Oryctolagus cuniculus: one gene and its partners. The protein of the gene in region 1 interacts with the protein of each later gene in a pairwise test. Links are inferred from orthologs where the notes say so. Each region holds a gene or a part of one and is shown in the gene's direction. Other genes may lie near its edges. The genes, in order: INPP5K, ARL6IP1 and MAD2L1BP.

Region 1 (6,767 bases):
GACTGAAGTTCATTTGTTTTCGACCTTGGGATAATCTGAGGTATCTTGCTTCCTGGGCAGGTCTTTGCAATTTTGAGTGCTCACCTGGGGAGAGAGGATGAGTTAGAAATACAGTTTTCCCCTAGTTCCACAAAAGAGCAATGTGGCTTCCTAACTCTGACCTCTGCTCCCAGTAACCCACTGTTTATAGAGTGCTCTAAGCACCAAGGAAGTACCCAAGGCCAGCATCTCTGCTGTAGAAAATTTAACAAATACAAAACTCCCAGCCCCAGGCATTGCATCTCTGATTACTACTCTTAGGAACAACTGTGGCTTCTAGGCCCCCCTGTTGCCCACTCTGTAGGACTCTCTCTGTAGAGCCTACAGAGCACCCCGGTCAGCTCTCCACCTGGAGGGAGCTGTCCAGTGCGGCCCCTAGACGTGAGTCTGCCCCATATATATCGATCAGTCTGACCCCGAGGAGCTCTGTATGTCCACGCTCCTCTTCCCTTTCGGGCTGGTGCTGCCACTCAGCAATAATGCTCTTTTCTCTGTGCTTTCTTAGATCCCTGTCCTCTGTCTTTGAGGTTGGTTAGGATGCAAGAGTCCTGATCTTTCCATGCTGCACAAATGAGCATGCAAAAAGCTTTTTTCCAGAACACGTTCTGTCTCGCCTCCAGTTGCTGGAAAGGAATGTGGGAATCGAGAACTCAGCTCGGCCTGCTCCCATGCTGAGTTCTGTCCTGGACAATCAAAAGCAAATAGTGACCATAGTATAGACCTCTGCCGAAGCAGGCTGGTGAAGAGTGCAGGCTCCAGAGGAGTAAAAGCTGCTCCCATCTCCTACGACGTGGCAGGACCTGAGTGTGCCTCGCTGGTGGGGGAGTCTGAGCCAGCTGTGGTCTCCCCTGACATTCCCAGACCTTGTGAAGTATGTCAGCTTGAGTGTGCGCTCCAAGCCCAGCCTGGCCGGGGCCCGGGGCTGAGAGACCAGATCTGCTGGGGAGTGAGACGTGGGATGGCATAATTGATCCTTATGTTTGCCTTACTCATTTCTAAGTGCAATAAGGGAGTGTCTCACAGGACTGCACCTGTGCCATCCTGGTGGCTGCTTCCCTGTGGGTCTCCTGGGCAAAGGTGGACAGACTTGGACCCCTCAGCATGGTTAGCTCTGACCTTCACTGAGGTCCCTCTGGGACCAGGAGATGCCCTGTTACAGTCTCCTCACCTTGTGGGGCACTGCAGCTGCTTATTAGCATCTCAACGCTGGTAGCATTTATCTGACTGGGAAAGTTGGAGAAGAGGCATTCCTACTGGAGAGAAATGTAAATGTTTTCCTACAAGCTCTGTATTAGCTATTAATTATACTTGTGCTTAAAGATGTTCCTTCTTCATTCATCACTAGGTGAAGTCCAGATGTGGGTCATCCTGGAAAACACAAACATATTCTAGGCCTCGGTGGCTTACGTGGCCTGAGGGTCAGCAGGTCTGTCTCCTTCCTTCAACTATTTGAGATCCACACATATCATGTCAGTGCTTGGGGTGGGGCGCTTGTGTCTCTGACCACTCGCACGGCTCCCCGTTGCCCCAGTTTGAAAGCATCCCACTGAGCTGAGCTAGCATTCCTGGGGTCAACTTGGCTATGGGGCCCCTGCCCACAACAGCATCAAGGAAGAAGTCACTGGCCTGCTCTGCCCTCGGGACAGTGTTGCTGCTGGGCAACAGCCTTGGCTACTTTTAAATACCCCGCCCCCAGCCCGGAAACTGACAAGCACTCAAAGGGGCTCAGCTCCAGGAGAGCACCCCAGGGGGTGCCGCACCCCTCCGAGCAGCTGCCTCTGCAGCAGGGGTGCTGGGCTCTGGTCCTCTCACCAAGGTTGGAGATGAGGTCGGTTTTGAGGTCCCCTGGTATTACCTTCCCAAGTTCTCCTTTTACAGTCCCTACTGGGACGCCCTGACATTTTGGTTGGTTCCTAGTGCTCCTTCTTTTACAAACTACACTTTGTAGAACTGATTAGATTACCTTGTTTATTTAATGTGGGTTTGTGCCTTTTTGTCTCAATCTTCCAATACAGGTATATTGGGAAAAAACAGCAGTCTAATAAAATCCTAGACAGAGCTGTCTGGAGTCCAGCTAATTATTGGTGATGTTTTGATGCCCATTTTACAACTTAGATAGTCTCAAACTCTTACTGATGTCCCCCATTTTACCAGGGCAGGGTAAGGAAGAGGTTCAATGATGTCTCTTAAATTGCACGGGTGAATTTCCATAAATTAAGACGACCTTTGTCAACGCACTTGACACAGCTCGGCTGAATGTGATGCAGCCATGTTCTGCCCGTTCCCACGGCGCTTCCCGCTCCCCACACCTCCCCGTTCACTAGCCAGCAGAACAGTTCAGACAGCTCTGAACCTGGCTGCGGGGCCTGCGGACCGATGCAGCCCGTTTCTTAGATTGTGTGCACCTCCATCCCCGCCCCCTTAGACTGAGCCAAGGAGTGAACTCGCAGTGAATCTTGAGCGCTGTCCGTCATCTCTGTGGTGCCTGGTCTTCAGTGCAGACCAAATAGAAGCAGTGACTTATTTTCCCTGAGTCCAGGAACCCGGAGGCGTCCCGTGTGTAACAGGCAAACCAATGAGTTTGAAAAGCGAAGGCCACTTGAAGGTGGAATAGATTAGAACCAGGAATGGCCGTGCGAGCGCGGCGTGGAGCCGGGGGTTACCTGCGGTTGGGGGACCCGGGTCATAGGCGGGACAGTGGCTACGTGGCCGAGCACGTCTCTGCGTGGCGGGAAGCTGGAGGACAGCACAAAACCCAGGCCCGCAGACAGACCCCGAGCGAGGCACCGGCGGCCCCGAGACGCGGGCGCGGCAGCGACTTCCGCCGGAAGACGGCTCTCCCGCCGCCTCGCGCGAGGCGGGCCCGGGTGCCGGCGGCGGGCAGTGTTACGTCGTGCGCTGAGGACGGGCAGGCCACGCCTCGCTGACGCCCGGCTCCCCGGGCCCTTTTCTCTCAGCCTCTGGCGGCGCCGCGCTCGCTGGAGGGTCCCGCCTCCTTCGCCGAGCCGCACCACCCAGAGCCCTGGGTTTGCTCGAGGTCCGCCCCTTACGGGAGCCGAGGCGGACGGCCAGAATCCGGAAGAAAAACAGTCGGCGAGAGTGAGGCGGCCGAGCCATGGAGCTGGACCAGGAGGAGTCCAGCAGCGAGGAGCCGGAGCAGTCAGACGTGAGCCTGCCGGACGACCCCGAGAGCGTGATGGCCTCCGTGAGCGAGCAGAAGCCCAGCGAGCCGAATGTCTGGAAACTCAGGTGAGGAAGACGCCTGCTCGGGCCGGTCGCTGCCTTCAGCCGCACCGGGGCTGCGGACCTGGGGGCTGGGGACTGACCAGACTGGAAGGGAGGGGAACAGGCTTCTGCGGCTGCCCTCACCCAGAGGCCCTCCCACATTCTCCCAGGCCAGGGTCTAGTGGGATTTACTGGACCTGAGCCTCGCGCCCCCTCTGAACTTGGGCCGCCGAGCGCGTCCCCACTGGAACACTCCAAGCAGGGCAGGGGTGGCCCAGTTAGCAGGTGTCTGGAGCAGACAGTTGTGTTGGGCTGTCGCGGTGAAATCTCATTCCTGTTTGTGATCGGCACATGCATCATGAGGTCTGCCTGATCCCGTTATGACCTCCGGAAATCCGAAATCGGATTAAGATAAGAACCTTCGGGGAAGTGGTGTCGCCTGGTCTCATGCCTGCTCTTTCAGGAGGAACGGGGCTAATCACCCACTTGGTGGGAATCACGAGTGTGGATTTGCGCCTAAGCGTCCGACCTGAGTGTGGGGACAAGAAATCCCAACTCTGGTCCCCACGCACTTAGAGCAGGTGCCTGGGAAAACAAGGGGCCTTTGAGTGAAAGGGCTTGCTTTCTTAATCCTCTGTCGGACAGCAGGGGGAGATCGTAAACAGATGAAATACTTTGTCCACCGGGTGCCTGGGAAGGTGGGCTTGGAGTTGTTTGTTTATATTCTTGGGGAGGGGCAGGAAATTGCTTTAAGCCGGCCAAGAATTTCCTTCTGGTGGAGCAGAGGCATATGGGAGCGGCCCCCTTCCCCCCATCTCCTAGGCTGGACCTTCCACAGCAGCGGGTCTTCCTCCTCTCGGTGCACCTGGGACTGGTGCAGCCTGCTGGCTGTTCGTGAACTCTGCGGGATTTGCAGCTCCTGGGGCTGCTTGGGCAGATTTCTGTTAACTGCTCTGTGTGCAAGTCCCTCCTTGCGCCGAGGCTCTGAGAGCCACCGAATTGGCTCTTGCTCCCCTAGAATCTGTGTGGAGCAGAGGTGGAGAATGGCACCCGAAGATGACTTTCCCAGGGACAGGGAGATTGGAGAGAGATGTTGAGAGACACTTAGAAGTTCTCCTTGGGCTCCCTAAGTGCTTCCCAGAATTGGTTGTGCTGCGGGAATCTGCTGGGAGCAAGTGGAGGAAGGGAGCGTGGCGTCTCTCCGGCGGTGCTGTAGTGCTGAGGCCTTCGCAAGGTGCAGTCTGAGCTCTCCTCCTCCCGTCTTTCCGTCCCAGTCTTCCTGGTGGTTTCCAAACTCCCGGGGTTGAGACGTGGGGGCCGGAAGTCGCTGTCAGCCATAGATGCTGGCTGAGGTGAGGTGTGGATGGCTGGTGCAGCTGGTGCATTTCGGGAAACCCTGGCTGCCCAGCCCACAAGCTCTGGGCTCCGTTTGGCAGCTCTGCTAATGTGAACAGCAAGTGTGGGCAGCTGTGGGTCTGTATGGAGCAGCCAGTCTGGGGCACAGATGTCCTGCTCCGGGGGACACAGGTGAAGACCCAGGGCTTGTAGTCCAGTACCTCTGCTTCCTCCATCAGATGCAGAAACGCGTGTTTTCCATGTGACTGCAGCGGTGTGGGGGGCCACCGTGTCTGTTGTCCTCCTTCCTCCATGACGCTTTCTGCGCCCCTTCCACAGTATGCATGTCGTGACCTGGAATGTAGCCTCCGCAGCACCCCCTAAAGACCTCAGTGACCTGCTTCAGCTGAACAACCAGGACCTGGACCTGGACATGTATGTTATTGGGTAGGTGTCCGCAGGGCCCCTTCTGCCAGCCCTGTGTCTGAGATCAGCCTGACCGGTCTCAAGCTGTGCCCACGGAGAACAGCAGTAACCTGTGGAGGCGGAAGGCAGGGAGCTGTCAGCCCGAGTGGGGTCGGTGCTGTGGAGGCTGCAGACAAGGAGCTGTCAGCCCAAGTGGGGTTGGTGCTGTGTCTGCTGTCCGAGGGCAGCAGTGGCAGGGAACTGGAGGCCGGTAGCCAGGCAGCCAGGGAGGGAGGAAGCGTGGTCACCGACGGAGGCTTCAGGTCCTCTGAGGGCAGTGCTGAATGTCTGTGGCAGAGGCTCTGCCCTCGGCCGGGGACAAGCCTCTGACCTGGGGTGGTCAGTTTGCAGGAAATGAACTCTGGGATTGTAAGCTTCATTTCCGATACTGCCTTTGAAGACCCGTGGAGCAGTTTCTTCATGGATGTGCTTGCCCCTCTGAGCTTCGTCAAGGTAACGTGCAAGTTCACGGAGGACAGAGAAGTGAGAGATGTGTCTCGCCTCCACCGAGCCCCAGGCGCTATATTCCTCTTAGTCCCCATCAGCCTTTTGTGATGTGTCCCATCTGTTAAAAGTTCATTTATTTTTTATGCAGGTGTTTCCAACTGACTTTTTTTTTGTTAAAGATTTACTTATTTATTTGAAAGGCAGAGTTAGAGAGAGAGAAAGAGGCAGAGAGCTATCTTCCATCTGCTGGTTCACTCCACAAATGCCCACAATGGCTAGAGTTGGGCCAGGCCAAAGCCAGGAGCCAGGAACTTCTTCTGGGTCTCCCACATGGGTGCAGGGACCCAAGCACTTCGGCAATATTCCACTGCTCTCCCAGGCGCATTAGCAGGGAGCTGGATCAGAAGTGGAGCAGCTGGGACTCAAACCCATACCCATATGGAATGCTGGCGCCACAGGCAGAGGCTTTGCCTGCTATGCCACAGTGCTGGCCCCAAAACTTTATTTATATATATATAAATATATATATACATAAATATATAATATATAAATATATATTTATATATTTATATATATATTTTATAGAAAGTTTTTATTTAATAAATATAAATTTCATAAGTACAATTTTTGGATTATAGCAGTTCTTCCCCCCATATCCGCCCTCCCACTACCCAAACCATCCCACCTCCTACTCCCTCTCCCATCCCATTCTTCATTAAGATTCATTTTTAATTATCTTTTTTTTAATATTTATTTTATTTATTTGAAAGACAGAGTTACAGAGAGAGGCAGAGACAGACAGAGAGGTCTTCCATCCACTAGTTCACTCCCCAGATGACCTCAATGGCCAGAGCTGCGCCGATCCAAAGCCAGGAGCCGGGAGCTTCTTCCAGGTCTCCCACTTTGATGCAGGGGCCCAAGGACTTGGGCCATCTTCTACTGCTTTCCCAGGCTATAACAGATTGCTAGATCAGAAGAGGAGTAGCCGGGACTAGAACCGGCACCCATATGGGATGCCGGCGCTTCAGGCCAGGGCATTAACCTGCTGCCCCAGAGCACCGGCTTAATTATCTTTATATACAGAAGATCAGCTCTATACTAAGTAAAGATTTCAACAGTTTGTACCCACACAGACACACAAAGTATAAAGTACTGTTTGAAGACTAGTTTTACTGTTAATTCTCATAGTACAACACATTAAGGACAGAGGTCCTACATGGGGAGCAAGTGTACAGTGACTCCCGTTGTTGATTTAA
Region 2 (6,815 bases), on another chromosome or scaffold:
TTGGGACAGGCAGAGTGGACAGTGAGAGAGAGAGAGAGAGGTCTTCCTTTTGCCGTTGGTTCACCCTCCAATGGCCGCCGCGGCCGGCGCACCGTGCTGATCCGATGGCAGGAGCCAGGAGCCAGGTGCTTTTCCTGGTCTCCCATGGGGTGCAGGGCCCAAGCACCTGGGCCATCCTCCACTGCACTCCCTGGCCACAGCAGAGAGCTGGCCTGGAAGAGGGGCAACCGGGACTAGAACCCGGTGTGCCAGCGCCGCTAGGCGGAGAATTAGCCTAGTGAACTGCGGCACTGGCCCTCTTTGGCCATTCTTTAAAGTTGGGTGTTAGTATGCCGCTAGCAAGATTGTACACTCTGCTCAACACCTTCACCAGTGTGGCTGCTCATTCTTCGGTCTTTTTGTCCTTTTTCTTCTAAAGACAGAGGAGAGCCTGCTCCTCAAACTCCAGAGCTTTAAAGTCTGCCAAAGCGTGAGCATTAAGCCTGTGTCCCACGTTAGAGTGCATGGGTTCCACTCCTGGTTCGAGCTCCTGATTCCATTTTTGTTTTAAAAGATTTTACTTATTTGAAAGGCAGAGCTAGGCAGAAAGATCTCCCACCCACTGGTTCACTCTCCAAATGGCTGGAGCTGGGCTAATCCAAAGCCAGGAGCTTCTTCAGGGACTCCCGCGTGGATGCAGGGGCCCAAGCACTTGGGCCATCTTTCACTGCTTTCCCAGGCCACAGCGGAGAGCTGAGCAGAAATGGAGCAGCCAGGACTTGAACCGGCACCGCAGATGGCAGCTTTAGCTGCTACGTCATAGCGCCAGCCCCCGATTCAGCTTCTTGCTGAATTGATCCTGGGAGGCATTAGATGATGGCTCAAGTAGTTGGTCCCTGACACCCACATGAGAGACCTGGATTGAGTTCTCCACTCCTGTCAGGTTTTCCCAGCCCCATTTGGCAAAGGAACCAGTGGATGGGAGCTGCAGCTCTCAATGTAAAACAAACGAGGTCTTTATTGACTGTACGTTACCTATACAACCTGAACTTTCCTGCAGCGTCCCCCATAGCAGAGACCTCTAACGTTGGGGAGGCCAGGTGATCGCCCCGCCCCCAAAGATCGCGGTCAGATTTGACACTTCCGCTAAGTTCACAAGGCTCCTGGTTGGTCCAGTTTGCTCAGGGCTTTTCTTTGACTTCCCTGAACTTTTCAGAACCTGGTTGTTATTTGAAGAGTGCTTTCAGGATAAAGTCGGTGGCATTAATACACATGGGTTTATAAGGATAAAGCGTACAGTACTTTCCCTGAGACGAACCTCTGTCTAGGCCAACATTTGGCGTGATTCAGACAAGAGCTTGCTAACGCATTTTGAAGTCCAAGATGGAAAAGATGGAGAAGGATCTCAACAGAGTTCATCCAGCTCTCTCTAATGGAAGGAAGGCGCTATTAATCACTTGGTACAGGGGGAGTTTGTAGTTTAAACCAAGGGGCCCGGCGCTGTGGCTTAGCGGGTAAAGCCGCCGCCTGCAGTGCCAGCATCCCATTGGGTCACCAGTTCCAGCTCTCTGCTGTGGCCTGGGAAAGCAATGGAAGATGGCCCGAGTCCTTGGGCCCCTGCACCTGCATGGGAGCCCCGGAGGAAGCTCCTGGCTCTGAGCCCCCCTACCCGTTGGGGCCACTTGGGGAGTGAACCGGAGAATGGAAGGCCTCTCTCACTCTGCCTGCCTCTCGAATAAATAAATTAAAAAAAAAAAAAATGCCCCATGAAGGATTTCTCTCTCACTTTGACACCCACCCCCACCCAAAGACCTCATTCCTGAATACGCTGCGGCAGAAGCCACATCAACAGCTCCATTCACTGGTTCTCAGAACCTCACGAGGTGGGCACGAGTCACAAATCTGGGTTAAGCCGCTCACAGGCCGGGGACGGCGAGGGACCGCGGCGCTGGGAGACGGACTCGCGGTCGGCCCGCCCCAGCCACTGTCCCGCGCCGCGTGCCCATCTCTGCCCTCCGCCTGACACCGCACACCTCTACGACTACTCAGTTTTCCAGAGGGGTTCCTTAGGCGCTGAGCGGAGCCAACGCCGGGAGGGTCCCGCGGCTACGGTGGCGTCCACTCTCGGCCAACCAAACCTCCGCCGCCGGCAGCGACAGTTGAACCGCTTCCGCGAGCCCTGGGCGGGGCGCCGCACAATCCCTGGGCGCCCATTGGTTATTCCGTTTCCCCGCCCCCTCTGCCCGGCGCGGCCCCTCTCTCCTTTGACCTCGATTTCAAGTCATGCGCTGAGCTGTGGTTGGTGGGGCTTTCCTGAAACCTGCGCTCGATTCACCCAATGAGGAGCGAGCGTCGCGGGTGCTGTCGGGAAAGGCGGCCGGCCTATATAAGCGACCTGCGGGGCGTTCCCTCGCGCTGTGTTCACTGTGCGGGTTTCCAGCGGAGGTTGAGGTTGGAGAGGCGGCTCGGGTTCGCTGAGACGACTCTTGACGGACGATGGCGGAGGGAGATAATCGCAGCACCAATCTGCTGGTGAGTCCCGGAGGCCTGCCCGCAGGAACCGAGCTGGGCCGGCCGGTGGGCTCGGCGGGGACGGTCGTCGCGGCCTCGCTCCTGTCCCCGCCACGGGCCCGTCCCTCCTCGGCCCAGCCCGGGAGACCCCCGTCCCTTCGGGGTTCGTGGGCGGCTCCCGGTGGGCGGTGCGCGGCGGGGCGAGGAGGGCGCGTGATTAGTCACTGCGAGTGGGGGTTGAGGAGTGCGGGACGGGGGCTGCGAGGGGCCGCGCGGTGGCTTTCGGGCCTCGCCGCGGTCCTGTCCGCCTTGGATCTCACCCTGGGCGAGCGCTCGTCCTCCTCCGTCTAAGACTTGAGCGGGGATGGAGGGTCCCAGGGCCACGGCCGAGGATTTCTGTTGGAGCTGGCGCAGCTTACAAGGACAGGGAGGCTGCGAGCTCCCCATGGGGAACCGGGCCTGGGCCTGGAGTTGGGAAGGCCGGGGGCTGGGAGCTCACAGGACGGCTGGAGAGGATCCGGGGGAGCTGCAGCGAGGCCCTGCCTTGGGTGGACGTATTGGATTCGGATTTAACTGCACCGGTCCAGGCAGGACCCGAGAGAGCGTTCCAAGGTCCCAGATGTTGGCGAACTCAGAAGGGCGGCTTGCATTGGGCGTGGTTTTTTGCTTTGCGCTGCTGCTTTCTAAGAGAATCGGTGCAAGCACAGCGAGGCTGTCCAAGTCCTGTTGCAATAGCCGAGTCTCACCTGGAGCCTGGGGTCCCCAGCAGAGCAGCCCGACTGCAGGGACAGCAAGGCCTTTGACTTCCCGGGGCCGACGCTGTCAACTCCTTTGCGTCTCAGTTTCCTTATCAGCGAAACGGGGATGGCAACAACCCCTTCTTTCTAGGGCGATTGAGAGGATCAGGCGAAGTTTAAGGTTCTTGGCACATGTGATCTCTGATTTAACTAGTCGTAAGCGTGAGCGATAAAGCCAGGACACCTAGTTCTAAGGGGAAGTACTCACAGGGACGTTGGGGTTTCCTGTTCCAGTGTTTTCTCCTTTACCAAGATGAGCTTCAGGGAGTTTGTGGCCTGAGCTCGTCTTCAAGGCCCACTTTGGGATGTCAGGGCTGCAGGAACACTGGAAGTCTACCCCGAGCGACAGGAAGCGCTGTAGAATGGCACTTGTAATTTGGAAAGCTGTTTTCCTTAATTTTGCAATGGAGCCCACTATCTCAGTGCTCCCGTTACACAGAGCCGTTTTAGAAGGTGAGTGCGGCTCAGGGGAAGGCTTTCCTAATGGATTGAGAGTAGGATTGAGATGGATGAAGTGAGTGAGCTGCGGGCCAGTTCCCACCACCTGAAATGAACAAACCTGGAGTGGTCTAATCTGATTAGCACTCTGGGTGCTGCCACTGATTGCCTGTCCACGCCTGGGAAGGTTTGGAGCCCACTTGCTTTCACTGTGAAATGAGTCGCATCCCTACATTGCCAGCTCTGTAAGGGTTGAGCTCCATCATGTATGTGAGGAGTCGCCCCGTGCTTGGATTCACTACAGGGTGGGCTCTGCCCAGGAGAAGATGGCCCGAGTCCTTGGGGCCCTGCACCCGCGTAGGAGATGGGGAGGGAGCTCCTAGGCTTTGGATCAGTGCAACTCCAGCAGTTGCAGCCATCTGGAGGGTGACCCAGGGGATGGAAGACCTCTCTCTTTCTCTCTGTCTCTACCTCTCTCTGTAACTCTTTCAAATAAAATCTTAAAAAAAAAAAAAAAAACAAGGAGAGGCTTCCCCTAGCCCCCTGGTTGATTCCCATCTTTGGTACAAAATTGCAGAGTTCCTCAGAAAGGAAACTGTTGAAGATTGGAATGAGGAGGTGTTTCACCTATTGATTGGCCTTGGGAAGATGTAACTGTTAGAACCACGGAGATGCTGAGTGATGAAATGGCCGCTTTCCCTTCTGCCCCGTGTAGGCTGCAGAGACGGCGAGTCTGGAGGAGCAGCTGCAGGGCTGGGGAGAGGTGATGCTTCTGGCCGACAAAGTGCTGCGGTGGGAGAGAGCCTGGTTCCCGCCTGCCCTCCTGGCTGTGGTCTCCCTGGTGTTTCTGTAAGTGAGCCGGGGGACTCCATGGGCTGCGTGCGCTTGGTAGCGCTGAAGGCTCTGTTCAGGGCAGCACCTTAATGAAGCCTTTTGTAGCCTGTAATCCATCAAGAATGCCTTTTCTTACAAGCCGTGCTGGGTTTCCACAGTTGGTAGTACTTATGTAAGCTTGGTAACTTGACGCAGTTGAATAACTCGGTGACTCTCAAGCCTTTTGGCTCAAAACCATTACCATCTTACCATTACAATCTTAAAAAGTACTGGGGGTTTCCGAAAGCCTTTGTAGGTTGGTATTTATATCAGCCACTGCGGCTGTGACGTCATCATGCTATGAAGCCTCTGGAAACCACTGGTGAGGAAATTAGTGCCAAATAACGTCTCTGAGAACCACGGCACTGAGTGAATTGTGAAATTAAGCATCTGCAGCCAGGCATAATACTGGCTGTTTTCTAAGCTTCTTTAATTTTTTTTAACAGGATTATCTACTATCTGGACCCATCTGTTCTGTCCGGTGTTTCCTGCTTTGTTATGTTTTTGTGCTTGGCTGACTACCTTGTTCCCATTCTAGCACCCAGGATTTTTGGCTCCAATAAATGGTAAGTGACACAGTGATTTGCCGGTTTAATTTCAGAGGCCTTCCTGAACCTGGTGGCCGTGGCTACTGTGCTGTGATTAAGTGCAGAGCCTTGTCGAATCATTCAGGCGTTTTCACCTTCACCCGTGTGGTTTAAACTTACATTTACTGCCACGGGCTTTCTGAAGGTACAGTTTCAGTGAGGACTAACAAACATCTCAGTGAGCTTTCCCTAACAGGTGCACATTTCCATTTCTGTTGATATTTGAGGTGATCAGCTATTTCACAAACTATTCTTGAATAAATAGGAAAAGGTAACTGGTCGACTGTAGTCCACAGTCATGTAGTGACCAGGAGCAGTCTGCTGGGTGAGACACTTGTCTCGGTGCTGTGAAATGTTTGGACCTTTAAGTTTCAAATATCAAAAAGAAGCTTCCTCCACTAAATTGCCTTTGTCATTATGAGAAACCAATATATACTATGTTAAAAAATGCCCAAAGCATTTAAGAAAGAACTTAAACTAGTGTATTTGCTGTTGGTTATGGGCCCTCCCCACAGTTATCTTTATTTTTTTTAAGTTTTTATTTATTTATTTGAGAGGTATAGTTACAGAGAGAGGAAGACACAGAGAGAAAAGTCTTCCATCCGTTGATTCACTCCCCAAATGGCCACAATGGCCAGAGCTGGGCTCATCCAAAGCCTGGAGCCAGGAGCTTCTTCTGGGTTTCCCATGTGGATGCAGGGGCCCGAACACTTGGATCGTCTTCTGCTTTCTGAGGCCATCAGCAGGGAAAGTGGCGCAGCCTGGACTCAACTTGTTGGTCATGTGGGATGCCAGTGCCGCAGGTGGAGGCTTAGCCCGTTACGCCACAGCATGGCCCTCCCCCACAGTTATCTTTAAGCTTGCTTTCTATATTTGCTTAGACTAACTTGATAATATTAGAAATAATCACTTATTGAGAGTTTTTCAATACTGTATGTTAGGCCAAAATCAAGAGACTTGCTGATTTGATTGCTTTTTATGAAAGTTGTATGAAGCTGGCAGGTCAAGTGTTGACTTGATGCACACTTCTGCTGCTTGGCCATTTTTACTGAAATGAGAGGTTATGGGGAAGAATTTAGAACACTAAGAAGTAGACAAAAAAATAAATCCTAAAAAGTGAGAAAAGTTGTTGTAGAAGGCTGAGGATGCGGCTGGTGCTGTGGTGCAGTGGGTTAATGCCCTGGCCTGAAGCGCCAGCATCCCATATGGGCGCCGGTTCAAGACCCGGCTGCTCCACTTTCCATCCAGCTCTCTGCTGTGGCCTGGAAAAGCAGTGGAGGATGGCCCAAGTGCTTGGGCCCCTGCACCCACAGGGAGACCTGGAGGAAGCTCCTGGCTCCTGGCTTCAGATTGGAGCAGCTCCGGCTGTTGTGGCCATCTGGGGAGTGGACCATAGGATAGAGGACCTCTCTCTCTGCATAACTCTGACTTCCAAATAAATGAATAAATCTTTAAAAAAAAAAAAAAAAACACGCTGAATAAAAAAATAGAGGGCTGAGGTTTTGAGATGTTGAGGCAGCGTCGGGTGTGTGCCCCGTGCTTCAGGAGGTTGGACGTGAGTGAGCTGTTTGGCTGCATTTATGCCATTCTTCGGTTTTGAGTGCCTGAGATGGAGTTAGGAGACTAAGGG
Region 3 (6,858 bases), on another chromosome or scaffold:
TATCCCCCATCCACTGGTTGGCCCCCACAAAATGGATCCAATGACCAACAGGGGCTGGGCCAGGCTGAAGCTGGAGCTAGGAACTCCGTCTGTGCATACGTTTAAGTGAATCAGAAGTGGGACAGTGGGGCCAGCACTGTGGCTTAGCAAGTAAAGTCACCACCCATGATGCCAGTTTGAGTCCCTGTTGCTCCACTTCCAATCCTGCTCCCTGTTAATGTGCCTGGGGAAGCAATGGAGAATGGCCCAAGTCCTTGGGCCCCTGCACCCATGTGGGAGACCTGGAAGAAGCTCCCAGCTCCTGGCTTCACACCTGCCCAGCTCTGGCCGTTGTGGCATTTGGGGAGTGAATCAGCAGATGGAAGATCTTTCTATCTCTCTGTCTCTCTGTAACTCTGTCTTTCAAATAAATGAAGTAATTAAGTGGGAGGGGCAGCACTGTGGCATAGGGGGTAAAGCCACCACCTGCAGTGCCGGCATCCCATATGGGCGCCGGTTCGAGTCCCGGCTGCTCCACTTCCGATCCAGCTCTCTGCTATGGCCTAGGAAAGCAGTAGAGATGGCCCAAGTCTTAGGGCCCCTGCACCTCCATGGGAGACCCAGAAGAAGCTCCTGGCTCCTGGCTTTGGATCGGTGCAGCTCCAGCTGTTGTGGCCATTTGGGGAGTTAACCAGCAGGTGGAAGACCTCTCTCTCTCTGCCTCTCCTTTCTCTGTGTAACTCTGACTTTCAAATAAATAAATAAATCTTAACAACAACAACAACAAAAAGTGGAGCAGCTGGGATTTGAACCCGTGTCCATAAGGGATGCTGGGATCACAGGTGCTGGCTTAATCCTTTGTACCACAATGCTTCCCTTCCTCCCCCAACTTTTTTTTTTTTTTTTTTTTTTTGACAGGCAGAGTGGAGAGTGAGAGAGAGAGACAGAGAGAAAGGTCTTCCTTTTGCCATTGGCTCACCCCCCCCCCCCCAATGGTCGCTGTGGCCAGCGCACTGCGGCCGGCGCACCACACTGATCCGAAGCCAGGAGCCAGGTGCTTCTCCTGGTCTTCCATGCGGGTGCAGGGCCCAAGCACTTGGGCCATCCTCCACTGCACTTCTGGGCCACAGCAGAGAGCTGGCCTGGAAGAGGGGCAACTGGGACAGAATCCGGCGCCCCGACCGGGACTAGAACCCGGTGTGCCGGCGCCGCTAGGCGGAAGATTAGCCTAGTGAGCCGCGGTGCCGGCCCAGAAGCTTCTTCTGGGTCTCCCACGTGCTGTGGAGACCCAAGCACTTGGGACACCTTCCTCTGCTTTCCCAGGGACATTAGCAGAGAGCTGGATTGGAAGTGGAGCAGCTGAGGCACTAACTGGCACACCATAAGGGATGCTAATGCCAAAGGCGGAGGCTTAACCTGCTATGCCACAGCTCCGGCTCTTATAACTCTGCCTTTCAGACAAATGAATACAACTTTAAGAATCTTTAAATGCATCTTCAAAAATGAGGTGGGAGGGCCTAGGATCCAGATGACACTGTTAATGGGATAAGCAGAGAGTGAAAAGAACCTGTGGAGGAGACTGAGAAGTGCCTAGATTATACAAGTAGAAAGAAAAATAGACAAGTGTCAGGTTATGGAGGGCAAGAAAAGAATCTGTTTCAGGAATACTAGATGTTAAAACATACCAGAAAAGTATGATTAAAATACTGTGGTATTGGCTCAGAAATAAACATACACATAATAGGTCTGACATTGTGGTGCAACAGGTTAAGCCGCTGCTTATGATGCCAGCATCCCTTATGGGCACCAGTTCAGGTTTTGGCTGCTCCATTTCTGATCTGGCTTCCTGCTAATGCACCTGGAAAAGCAGCAGAAAATGGCCTAATTACTTGGGTCCCTGCAATTCATGCAGGAGATCTGGATGGAATTCCAAGCTCCTGGCTTCAGCCTGGCCCAGCCCGAGTCATTATGGCTATTTAGGAAGTAAACCAGCAGATGGAATGACTCTGTCTATGTCTCTCCCTCTTTCTTTGTAATTCTGCCTTTCTTTTTATTTTATTTTATTTTGACAAGCAGAGTTAGACAGTGAGAGAGAGAGAGACAGAGAGAAAGGTCTTCCTTCCGTTGGTTCATCCCCCAAATTGTTGCTACGGCTGGTGTGCTGTGCCAATCTGAAGCCAGGAGCCAGGTGCTTCCTCCTGGTCTCCCACACGGGTGCAGGGCCCAAGCACCTGGGCCATCCTCCACTGCACTCCCACGCCAGAGCGGAGAGCTGGACAGGAAGAGGAGCAACCGGGACAGAATCCGGCGCCCCGACTGGGACTAGAACCCAGTGTGCCTAGTGAGCCACGGTGCCAGCCCAATTCTATCTTTCAAATAAATAAATATATTTTTTAAAAAGTGGGGGAGGGGCCGGCAGAGAGAGAATCCTTCCATCCACTGGTTAACTCTCCAAATGGCAGCAGTGGACCAATCCGAAGCCAGGAGCTGGGAGCCAGAAGCTTCTTCAGGGTTTCCCATGTGGGTGCAAGGGCCCAAGGACTTGGGCCATCTTCTACCGCTTCCCCAGGCCATAGTCGAGAGCTGGATCAGAAGTGGAGCAGCCAGGACTCAAACATACCCCTATGGGCTGCTGGCTTAACCCACCTTGCCCAACTTACTCTGCAGCCTCCCAGAGTGATCCTATCCACTCCCATACTAATGGCTGTCTGTCCCAAATGGTGTTTCTAAATGTCTCTATTCACTGTCCTGTGGTGACACTGAACCCAGCCCATCAAAAGCAGGTTTCATCTTTTCTTCTCACCTCCTAGTAGATCTGGTCCTCGTTTATTGCTCCATCTTTCATCGAATGGAGCGCCTAGTAATTCAGTTGCTGGAGTCACAACCCTGCTGGTTTTTCTTTTTTATAGACTGACTGATTGATTGGTTTATCAGAGTTACAGACAGAGAGGGAGAGGCAGAAGAGATCTTCCAAGTACTGGTTCATTCCCCAAACTGCTGCAACAGCCTGGACTAGGCCAGGCCGAAGCCAGGAGCCTCTTCCAGGTCTCCCACGTGGGTGCAGGGGCCCAAGCACTTGGGCCATCTTGGGCCATGCACATTAGCAGGGAGCTGGATCAGAAGCGGAGCATCCAGGATTTGAACCGGTGCCCATATATGATACGGCACTGCAGACAGTGGCTTAACCCACCGCACTATAACGCCAGCCTGGACAGTCTGTTTCCTCGGATCAACTACTAATTTATGCTCATTGGGCCCCTTTGTATCTCCAGGACTCACCCAGTTCTCTCCCTCCCCTGCCACTACCCTGGTTCCGTTCTGTCTCAGCACTACCTCGAACTAGAACCCCTGTCCCTGTCTTTTATCCTCCCTGTAATCCAACTTCTACAGTGCAGCCAGCAGGGAGATTAAACGGGAAAGATGTGAACATAATCATGTCACTTCCCCTACTTATAAACAGCTTCCCTACCTCCCTACGGGGGATCGAGTTCAAAGCCTATCAAAGCTTAGAAGATCCTGTCATGATCCTGTCTCCTCCACGCCCCAGCGCTTTAGGAATTCTTCATTCCTTGAACAGGGGATGATGTTCTTGTCTCTTGGGGTCTCCTCTTTACCTTGCTAACTGACAAGGTCACAACATCTTCACACATTTCTTCTGGAACCACGTACCCCTGCCCCAACCCGCTCTGGGTTAGGCGCCCCAGTTCTTCCCTCCCCCAGCCCTTGTATACCCCACTGTATCAACGCATCCCATTGCACTGTACGCATAGGCAGTGCCCCCCTCGACGGCAGGGCCCGCGCCGGGCTTGTCCCCGGCGGAGCCTCCAGCACCGAGGACAGGGCCCGGCGTGAAGAAAGTAATGAACCCAAGAATGAATGGCTGCTAGAGGGCGGGTGGCCGCGAGCGCCTGGGCTCGCGGTAGCCGGAGGGCTAAGGGTGCCAGCGCGGGCTCCACCCCCGACCCCGCCCCAGGGCGGTGGCGCCGCGCCCCCTTCCGGCCGAGCCGGAAGTGGAGAGGGCTTCCCATGACGCTCCGCGGGCCGATCATTCTAACGCACGGAGCTGAGGGAGGAGGTCGCGATGGCGGCCCCGGAGCCGGAAATCCCGTCGCCGGCCGCAGGCACTGGTAAGGCATGGGGGCCCGGGCTTGCGGCTCCTCGGGGCCCTGTTTCTTCCCTACTGCCGTCCTGTCCTATCACCGCGCCTCTGGTCCTTCTGGTTCCGAGCTCCGGGTTCGTCCGCTCTCCGATGAGACTGCGCCTCGCCCTCTTTTCCCTGGGTCAGGAGCCCGATTTCTGAGTAGAGCCTCAGTCACTGACCGGGAATCTCTCTCGTATCGGCCACTTAGTCATGTACGGCCGCGGGGGTCAGGAATCCCGCACGTACGCACTAGGGTATCTGCGGCGTCGGGGTGTGCGTGGTGGCCGCAGGGAATGCGAAGCCCGACCCTGGCTTGTGTCTCATTTCCCTCTCTTGTGTCCTAGATCTGGAGTGGTTTGACCAGTCGGAAGAAATTCACGGCTCCCCGGTGGAACTGCCGGAGACTGCCTCTGCCCCCGAGGCTCCCGGCTCTGCGGAGCACTGCTGCCCGAGAGACTGCATGGTGCCGGTGGTGTTTCCCGGGCCGGTGAGCCGGGAAGGCTGCTGCCGCTTTACTTGTGAACTGCTCAAGCACATCATGTACCAGCGCCAGCAGCTGCCTCTGCCCTACGAACAGCTGAAGCACTTCTACCGAAAACCTTCTCCCCAGGTAGGCACGGGCTACGGGGGGGAGACGTCGCGGCTCTTGCCTGGCGAGCAGGTGGAACGGGGATCCGAGCCATCTGCAGGGACAGTCGGCGGCGCTGGCTCCGCGCTCGCGTCTTCAGCGGGGTGACCCTCTCTGGTTTTTTCCCTCTTGCTGTCTTCTCCCGAAACCCCTATTAAGTGTTGCTTTTGGACTCGAAGAGTTGAGCCTTTACATTTTAGTTTCTTTTCTCCAAATTTTCATGTTTGGTTTTTCCTTGATGGGGGAGTTCTTTGACTTTATATTCCAACACCAATACAACTTATTCTTTTTTTTTGGCAATCATTGTTAAGAGTTCTTAACTTTCGCATATGCTCTTTGCTCTTTTTCCCCCCAAAATGAGTTTATTTTGCTCTCATATATATATACATATATATATACATATATATATATACACATACATACATACATATATACCCCAGCAAAAATTGACTGCTTTGTGGCATGCCACCAAATTTCCTTGGCTATCTTAGCTTCTTATATCTGGCCGCTCTCTTGGCTGTTGGAAGGGTGGGAGAACTATGGCACAAAGAGTAGATTTCACTTTTTGCTGTGATGTTGATAAAGCCCAGTGATGTGGCGATGACATTCATTGAGCTAGACGTTCAGTCTTTTTAAGATTTATTTATTTACTTGAGAAACAGAGTTAAGAGAGAGAGGGAGAGAGAGAGAAAGGTCTTTCATCTGTTTCACTTCCCAAATGGCTGCAAGAGCTGGAGCTAGGCTGATCGGAGCCAGGAGCCAGGAGCTTCTTCTGGGGCTCCCATGTGGGTGCTGGGGGCCCAAGCTCTTGAGCCATTTTCTATTGCTTTCCCAGGCCATCAGCAGGGAGCCAAATCAGAAGTGGAGCTCCTGGGACCAGAACTGGTACCCATATGAGATGCCAGCTCCGGAGGCAGATGCTTAACCTAGTATGCCACAGTGCCGCCGCCCCCGCCCCCCACTTTTTTTTTTTTTTAAGATTTATTTATTTATTTGAAAGTCAGCATTACACAGAGAGAAAAGGAGAGGCAGAGAGAGAGAGGGGTTTTCCATCTGATGGTTCACTCCCCAGTGGGCCGCAACAGCTGGAGCTGAGCTGATCCAAATCCAGGAGCCAGGAGCTTCTTCCAGGTCTCCCACTTGGGTGTAGGGGCCCAAGCACTTGGGCTATCCTCCACTGCTTTCCCAGGCCACAGCAGAGAGCTGGATCAGAAGAGGAGCAGCTGGGACTAGAACCGGCACCCATTTAGGATGCCGGTGCTTCAAGCCAGGGCATTAACCCACTGCACCACAGCGCCATCGCCCCTCACAGGGTTCTTTAAAAGGCATTAGCTTCCCCTACCTTGTCTCTCTGTCTCACCAAGCTTTGTTGTCACAGGCAGAAGACGTGGTGAGGAAGAAGCCGCGGACGGCTGCCGAGGCCAGCAGCAGGAAATGCCAACAAGCCCTGGCGGAACTGGAGAGTGTCTTCAGTCACCTGGAGGGCCTCTTTGCCCGAACCCTGGTACCACGAGTGCTGATCCTCCTTGGGGGCAGTGCCCTAAGCCCCAAGGAGTTCTACGAACTTGACCTGTCCCGGCTGGCTCCCTACAGTGTGGACCAGAGCCTGAATACAGCAGCCTGTTTGCGCCGGCTCTTCCGGGCCATTTTCCTGGCTGACGCCTTTAGCGAGCTGCAGGCCCCACCGCTCATGGGCACCATCGTCATGGCTCAGGGGCACCGTGACTGTGGAGAAGATTGGTTTCGACCCAAGCTCAACTACCGCGTGCCCAGCCGCGGCCACAAACTGACCGTGAGCCTGTCCTGCGGCAGGCCTTCCGACCCAACAGTGGCTTCGGACGATTACATCTGGTTCCAGGCCCCAGTGACGCTGAAAGGCTTCCACGAGTGACGGAGGACGCTTCCTCATCCTGGAAACGGATGGCCGAATGGCCCGGCTCCCTTCGGCACCGAGCCACCCGACTCTCGCTTGGAGCTGGCGTTGCTTCCCGGTGAGAGGGGAAGGCACTGTCCTGGCTGCCTCCCCTCCTCACACTTCCGGGGGGCTGACGGTGTGTGGCTAGGACCATGGTAATCATCCCTGAGCTACAGCTTGTTGAATCAAAGGTTG

The links.
Region 2: the proteins of INPP5K (region 1) and ARL6IP1 interact in binary tests that used the Homo sapiens proteins (3 or more experiments, as listed by UniProt). The link is inferred for Oryctolagus cuniculus from reciprocal best matches to the Homo sapiens genes INPP5K and ARL6IP1.
Region 3: the proteins of INPP5K (region 1) and MAD2L1BP interact in binary tests that used the Homo sapiens proteins (3 or more experiments, as listed by UniProt). The link is inferred for Oryctolagus cuniculus from reciprocal best matches to the Homo sapiens genes INPP5K and MAD2L1BP.

The regions. Positions count from the first base shown.
Region 1 is NC_091448.1:47,057,003-47,063,769, reverse strand, and holds the start of INPP5K (inositol polyphosphate 5-phosphatase K), read left to right. Parts: upstream 1-2,964; 5' UTR 2,965-3,154; coding exon 3,155-3,288; intron 3,289-4,032; exon of another isoform or gene 4,033-4,498; intron 4,499-4,938; coding exon 4,939-5,046; intron 5,047-5,408; coding exon 5,409-5,517; intron 5,518-6,767. UniProt on the Homo sapiens protein: Inositol 5-phosphatase which acts on inositol 1,4,5-trisphosphate, inositol 1,3,4,5-tetrakisphosphate, phosphatidylinositol 4,5-bisphosphate and phosphatidylinositol 3,4,5-trisphosphate.
Region 2 is NC_091450.1:20,960,439-20,967,253, reverse strand, and holds the start of ARL6IP1 (ADP-ribosylation factor-like protein 6-interacting protein 1), read left to right. Parts: upstream 1-2,321; 5' UTR 2,322-2,475; coding exon 2,476-2,511; intron 2,512-4,440; coding exon 4,441-4,574; intron 4,575-5,044; coding exon 5,045-5,164; intron 5,165-6,815. UniProt on the Homo sapiens protein: Positively regulates SLC1A1/EAAC1-mediated glutamate transport by increasing its affinity for glutamate in a PKC activity-dependent manner.
Region 3 is NC_091436.1:126,439,793-126,446,650, reverse strand, and holds the start of MAD2L1BP (MAD2L1-binding protein), read left to right. Parts: upstream 1-3,964; 5' UTR 3,965-4,060; coding exon 4,061-4,106; intron 4,107-4,464; coding exon 4,465-4,730; intron 4,731-6,126; coding exon 6,127-6,639; 3' UTR 6,640-6,858. UniProt on the Homo sapiens protein: May function to silence the spindle checkpoint and allow mitosis to proceed through anaphase by binding MAD2L1 after it has become dissociated from the MAD2L1-CDC20 complex.